2 linked regions of the Rattus norvegicus genome follow. The protein of the gene in region 2 purifies or fractionates together with the protein of the main gene of each other region. This does not show direct contact. Links are inferred from orthologs where the notes say so. Each region holds a gene or a part of one and is shown on either strand. Other genes may lie near its edges.

What was found.
Region 1: the proteins of Btrc (region 2) and Hivep1 purify together in Homo sapiens (affinity purification with mass spectrometry; 5 studies listed by BioGRID and IntAct, counting the BioPlex papers as one, with this or other methods). This does not show direct contact. The link is inferred for Rattus norvegicus from reciprocal best matches to the Homo sapiens genes BTRC and HIVEP1.

What each region holds. Positions count from the first base shown.
Region 1 is NC_086035.1:22,819,658-22,823,309, forward strand, and holds part of Hivep1 (zinc finger protein 40), read right to left. Parts: coding exon 1-3,652.
Region 2 is NC_086019.1:254,298,754-254,302,405, reverse strand, and holds part of Btrc (F-box/WD repeat-containing protein 1A), read right to left. Parts: intron 1,613-3,652; coding exon 1,426-1,612; intron 1-1,425. UniProt on the Homo sapiens protein: Substrate recognition component of a SCF (SKP1-CUL1-F-box protein) E3 ubiquitin-protein ligase complex which mediates the ubiquitination and subsequent proteasomal degradation of target proteins. Recognizes and binds to phosphorylated target proteins.

The DNA of each region.
Region 1 (3,652 bases), on a different chromosome or scaffold from region 2:
TCTGGTCACTCTGAGCCAAGGGCAATGACTTCTGTCTCAGCAGGTAACACCATGTAAAGCTAGTTGCAGTCTTGAGGCTGGGGAAAGATGGCTGCTGAGTGTCTGAGCTGCTCAACACTGAGAGACCAGGGATTGGAGGCTGCCTTTGCCCTTGGATGACTTTGTTCTCTTCATTTTGAACCCCTGATGACCCCTTTTCCTGGTTGTCGTCTCTAGATTTCAAAGGCAAAACACAGGCACTTTCCAATGGGATGTGTGAACTTCCCACTGTAGGAGTCAGTGACGTGGACAACTTGGTATTTTTAAACTCCTGGAATTCACTGACATGGTCTGGGACTGCAAACATAGAGTGTCTGGATGACAGACTATCGGTTGATAAAACCTGAGTTGAGTCAGCATTCCTGCTGCTCTTTCCAGAGGCAGAACCAGGGTCCTGCTCTAGTGCCGTTCCTTCCAGGGGTTCCACAGTGCAGAGCTGCCGTACCAGCACTGGCTTCTTCTGCTTATGGCCCTCATTAGCTCTTGAGCTTGGCAGCTCCAATGGTCTAATGTTTGTGCTACAAACAGCTCCGTTCTCATCTTTAGCTCGTTTCTGATGCTTTTCCATGGCAATGTCTAAACTGTTTGCTGGGGAAAGCATCCTTTTACTCGAGGCTGAGGATTCTTGTTGTGGGGAGAGTCTACCAGCAGACACTTTCTGAACTGTCGCCGAGGATTCTGAAACTGGAGCGTTTTGGCCCATCTCTGAGAGAACAGTTTTGCACGCAAGATCCTTCTCCGGTGTTGGCAATGCATTCTGGAGATAGTTCTGTGATTTTGGCATGGGATTTTGTTCTTCACTGACTGGCACTATACTTTGATTAGTTTGGCAAATTGGCGTGTTGGACAGATCGTGGGTCACTAAGATCTGCGGCAGAGATGTGACAGTAGAGAGACAGTACACTGGGACATCCCTCGGCTGGAGCACAGGCAGCACAAAGGAAGGCAATCGCTTCTGCACCTGATCACTCGGTAGCCCAAGCTCCAGCGATGGCAGAGGGTAGGATTTAGACACAGGATCGACTGCTTTGGCTGACAGTGCTACTGAGGCTGTGCAGGGATCAGCTGCAGTTTGATCCGGAAGAACTGGATTAGGTAAAGAATGCAAAGGACTAGAAGAGCAACCCCGGCCTGACGTGAATGCTTGACACTGAAGCTGGTACTTGGGAGCAAAGCTACCGTCGCCTGTAGAAGACGTACCTGCAGGGGGAGGTGCACCTGGCTTGCCACCCTGCACAGACACTGGCAGAGGCAGTGGTGTGTTTTGGTGACTAAGGGGCATGTTGGTTTTATTTAATAAATGGGCACCAAAAAGTTGTTGAGGAGGAAAGGTGTCAGTAGAGCTACAACTTGACATTTCTGCCTGTAAATCCTTAGCCAGGGCCTGGGAGGGCACAGTGTGTGCAGGAAGGTCAGCAGAAGCCACATCAGGAGGCCTCAGGGCCTGCAGTGGGATTGCATTCACACCAGGGAGAACAATAGTCTGGAGAGCTGATACACTGCCAGGAGACAGGGGGCTATCCGAAGCTATGTTCAAAGATATCTGCCGGGTCAGGGGACCTCGCCTCCTTTCTAGAAGGGGCACATGCCCAGTGCCCCCAACACCAGATGGGGAGTTGGAGGGCTGAGGCTCAACAAGTGCTGGCACCACATGGGAAGGAGCAATGCTCCCGCAGTCGAATGACTTACTTCGGAAATCAGAGACCTCCATCAGTGTGGGCACGCAACTGATCTGCTCGGATGCCGCCCGCCTCATCTCCCTGTGACTCCCAGGGACACTCAGTGTGTTTGAACCCAGCGGAATAAAAAGAAACTCAGCTTTGCTTGGAAAGTCAGTTTTGGGGGACAGCTCTACTTTAGAAATGTCTTCTACATCTAGGGAGGCGGAGAAGCTGGATGCATGGGACAAGCTGCTTTCTCTGCTGAGACTCCGGGAGAGTGTGGACTCGAAGCTTGACTCGGTTGAGGAGTGCTCTATCTCAGCCAGCCGGAGCCTTTTCTTTTTGGGTGGCAGCTTCTCTGTCGGCAGCTTTGATAAGGTCTCACTGCGCTGAGGCCAAGTAAATTTCTCTGACTTTTCTTCGTCATGACTCTGGGCTTCTAGGTCCCGGTCTGGCTCTTCAGTGACCAGAATTTCTGGGACCTGGATGTTGTGCTGCCGGACAAGTCTCAAGGGCTGCCCTAACACAAAGCGCTCACTGGGAATCTTTCTAGCACTTTCCCGTGACAGTGCTATCTGATGTGTGGCATCCCGAGGTGGGTGACCTTCCTCTGGGGGCATCCCTATCACTTTCAGGGCCCCAGGCATCCCAGCTCTGCCTAATTCCTGTAAAGAGAAGGCGGTGCCTCCTTCCAAGGGCTCCAGCTTGTCGAATGAACTGGGCCTGCTCAGGGAGTTGGTGTGCTGGATGACTGAGATGCCACCCGCTTGTCTCTGCACCTCGATCCTGTCCTGAGTTGCGGAATTCAGCTGCTGTTCAACCACGGGGCATTGCTTCAGGGGCAAGGCCTGTTCAGGGACCCTGGCCACAAGCTGAACAGGCGAGCTCTGCAGCTGGACGCCCCTGTGTGCCTGGTCACCTGCTGTGGCAGGGGCTTGTTTGGACGGACTGGGAGCAGACCCTGGAACTGGCTGCAGCTGGAGGGCTTCTGCGCTTTCTGGGGACCGCCCGCTCTCCCGAGGCTGCAGGTCCTCATCATCGCCTACGCTTTTCATTTTCCTCCTCTTTCTTATCTGGGGTGTCTGCTCCCACACAGCCGTGGGAGCGGCAACTCTGTAGTGGAGAACCTGGGGTTGCACCCCACCAGGTGCCAGGCCGTGCTCAGGCTCTCTCGCAGCCACCTTCGTTTTGGGCCCATGTAACTCTGAACAGTAAAATTTCTTATGATTCTCGAAATTCTCCAGTTTCCGGTACCTGTTTCGACAGGTTTCACACTCAAACATGGTCCCTCGTCCTTGATGTGACTTCTTCTTCTCTAGGTGAGGGGTGTTCGCTGCTTTGCTCTGCACTGGCCCAGGCTCACTGGAGGCTGGGCACCCTTGACAGCTCTCATCCACAGACTGCCCAGAGCCCAGAACGTGATTCTCACTGGCCGTCGAGTCTTCCACTGCCGCCTGTCTGACCAGGGGACGGTGATGTCCACTTGGGGGCATGGATGGGTTGGGTCCCGACACAAAGACATCATCATAGAAGGTGCCAATTTTATCATCAAATGACTGGCTTCCTCTCAGAGGGGGAGGGGGAGGAATTATGTTTGCAGGGACTGCTGAATATCCCGTGGTTGGCATGGAGTTACTTCTCGTGATAGGCAGACAGTCCAGGGAAGGGACAGACAGGAGGAACACCTGCTTTGACTTCTCGGTCGGGGTGAATGGGGACTTTGGTATATCAGAGCTGGAACTTGTTCTCCGTCCCATTGGCTTCAGGTCGAACTGGAAAGAATCTTTGAATATGTATGACTTGGGGGAGTCGATGCTTCCCCGTCTAGAAAGCGAGGTTCTCCGGGGCTTCACGCTATCCAGTTGCTTATCATCAACCAAGGCTTCATTGTCTGAGATCAGCTTGGAAATCCTTTCCTCCAGAGTTTTGGTTGCCAAGGGTGGGCGCATCTG
Region 2 (3,652 bases):
TTCAAAGATACAAAAGCATGAGAGCCAAGCCAATTTGAAGGAAGGGTGATCTATTTCTCTCTCTCTCTCTCTCTCTCTCTCTCTCTCTCATGTATATGTGTATGTATGTGTATATAATATATATATATATATTTCCTGCTTCAGTTTCCTTACTTGCTGGGATTACCATGTCCACCCAGCTAAGTGAGGATTTGTTTTTTGTTTTTGTTTTTTGTTTTTTTTTGCTTACAGGACTGGACCCAAAGCCTTTATACACAGTGAGGGCACCTGTAGCCCTTAGCTGTTTTTACACTTGTTTTGAGACAGGGTCAGGCTGAGTGAGGGTGGCCACATATGTCCTAGCCGCCTTCCTTCTTCTTGGAAAAGCAGGCCGTATGGCCCAAACGGAGCTTCCCCTTAGTAATCTTAACTGTTTGAGGTTGTGTATGACTCCAGACCCAAAAGGAACCAAAATAAATAAATAAATAAATAAATAAATAAATAAATAAATAAGTTCTGAAGGCAGTCACTGGGCACACACATGCCTATTGTCATTTTTTTATCAAATATACTTAATAACTTATTTAATGAATTATTCATACCTGACTTTCTTATAGTGACATTCTAGAGATATACTCTAAGGCAAAATTCTAAAAAGAAAAATATCTTCAAGAAGTTTTAATGAAATAGTGCCATTGCGCTCAGGGAACACTACTGGTGAAGTCTTTCAGGTCGTTGACTACACAAGGCCTTAGGAAATTCATAATCAAGCAAGCAAATCTAAAGATACAAGTTTTAGGAAGAAACAAATGATTTATACTAAATTCCACTTTTCATTCTTTCTGATAGCTTACTTCTACTTGGGCATAAAAATTAATTTTTGATTACAGAGGTGGTGAGACATGGAGGTGGAGACTGCAGTCTGGGAAGAACAACAATTCCACCTTCCCCAGAAGAGGAGGAAGTAGGAGTGGGCTCTTTCTACCTGATTCAAAGCTCTCTTTCCTTCCTTAAAAGTTCTCTCTCAGCCTTTCTGCAAAATTCCAACTTCGTCCAGAGAGCAGAATGTTTTGTTTTTTTTTTGTTTTTTTTTGGTTCTTTTTTTTTTTCGGAGCTGGGGACCGAACCCAGGGCCTTGCGCTTCCTAGGCAAGCGCTCTACCACTGAGCTAAATCCCCAGCCCCGAGAGCAGAATGTTTTAACTGGGAGGGCAGTCAGTTTTCTTTTTTCTTTTGAAAAATGTCATCTCATGATCGACTGGTCAGAAGAAAACTACTGCGTACATGGACAGCAATTCGCTTGTATTTTTAGCTAAAAATTGGACAAGGACTATGGCTGATGGGAAGTGTCCCTGCTGGCTCCCGACATTCCCTCATGCTCAGCAGCCAGGTGGGGGGGGGGGGGGGGATGCCGGAATGAGGCAGGAAGAGGAAGGGAAGGGCTCACCACCCTCTGCGCTCTGCCAGGCCTCGCCACAGAGAGTCTGTCCTGACCATCCTCTCGATGAGCTTCTTCCACAGCATGCCGTCCGACGTCACGCGGTACCATTCCTTGCACACAAGCTCAGCAGCACACAGTGATCTGGCGTCCAAGTATGACAGAATGTTCTCAGCAATATGGTCCAGACCCCGTGCTTCAGTGAGGGAAGGAAGCACAAAAAGAACAGAGCGGGTGCTGAGCAATTTTTCACAGAAAGCCTTTAAAAGAGCAGTGCACGCTGTGAGATGAAGGCACACCACTGTCCCTAGTGTGGTCCAGCTTTGCTCAAACAGAGACTTGGGTAAAATGAGTGTCAATAATTTTTCCATAAGGTTACAGAAATGAACAGTATTTTCCATCTTCTGTTAGATAAGGAAGTTAAAGCTAACAACCAGCAAACCCCCAAGACATTAAAAATAAAAAGGAGTCCAGAAAACAGTTCCCATCTATCTATATGGATTTCAACACTAGGGGATGTTCTACGGATGGCGTCTCAAACTCAGTGATTCAGACCCCCCGAAATCCTGATATTAGGTCCATTTCTCATTCTCTCCTATTACTGCTGCAGTTCCAAAGCTATTCAGTGAAAGAAATATCCTTTAAATGTACTGGGGAGAGAGAGGCAGCAAGTCAGACTGCTCTGGGACATGGGACGTGGGCAAGAGGAGAAAAGTGAGCACACTGTCCAAGAGCAGCCTGAGAGGAGACACAGGGACCCTGAGAGGAGACACAGGGACATTAAGGTTCAAAGAGGAGTCTGACTGCATGTTAAAAACAAAACAAAGCCTACTGCTCTAAAACCTAAGCGGCACTTGACCTAAAAAGGAAAAAAGAATCTTACCAGTAAACATGAGGGTAGCATTTCAAAAGAAAATATGGCAGGCTGATCTTGGGCGGTGGAAACTAGCATACTCCCCAATTAAAGCTCTTTACCACCCATATATACATCAAGGCCTGGGTGGGAAAGAGCCCATCAAATAGGATGGCCACCCTAGCAACATTTTTGGCATTGCTGTTCCAAGTTCTCAGGTCAGACAAACCATTCACAATCTCTGAGGTCTTCTGAAGGCTCACAAGTTGGGATGGATTCCTTCAGTCTGTCATCTGCAGGCATGAACGGGAAAGGACTGACGCCGTGCGTTTTTGACTCTGCGTGTCTCCCCTGAATCATATGGAGACACACTTGGCTGCCATTAGCAGCAATCCAAATATGCTTATTAAACATTATTCTAATTATAAAAATTGTATGGCTATCTGTCAAATTCTCCAGCAGACTTGGGGAAAGAAAGCTTTAAGTGGATCTTGTTGGCTGGCGTCACATGTTCATATTTAAGTATAAGCAGATGGAGGCATCCGCCACCTAATTCTTATTAAAGGAATATGATTATAGGCCAATTAAAGATAATAAAGTTCCTCACCGAAGATACGATGATGACATATTTCCCAAATCTTTTATATTTAAATGTTCTACAATATCAGAAAAGGCATTCTTACATTTTTAATGGCTGCCATCAATGGCAGCCTGATTGTGTACAATGTACCAGTAATAAGAGTAATTTCACCCAACACTCCAAACAAAACAGTTACATAATGGACTATAGGCAATCTCTGGAGTAGTTTGGTTTACTAAATGTAGCCAGATGGTGTAGGTTGAGAAGCTTAAATGGCTGTTAGGCACTGGACATGATTTAATACCACATAGTCTAGTCAGCTGATACACACTAGGGATCAGTCCAGTATTAGGCAAAATACACTGGTCCAATCAACACTGGTTCAATTCTTAGTGTCTAAGCCTGAGACAGTAACATGTTTCAATGATTGGGAAGAGAATAGCAGTAGGTGTACTCAGATTGTGCAAAGAAAAGTGCTTGCCAATGGCTACAAAAAATCCAGTATTTTACAAGAGGACAAAATCTATTCTATTTAAGCAAAGAATATAGGTACAATTCAGTTTTAAAGTGGTTACTCATAATATACAAATAAACATTTAATTTTAAAAGGTAATTTATTTTAGGTTCAGAAAAACAAAGCTTTAAGAAATTGCTGCCAAGGAATGAGAGAGGCAGCACCACACAGTTCTAAGGCAGCTCCTGCTAGTGCAGTGTGCTGGAGGAGAGGCTGTCAGCATGGACCAGAGCCTTAGAAGTGAGGTTGCTGGTGGGGTGCCCAGCTGCAATCACAGGAGGGGTGGGGC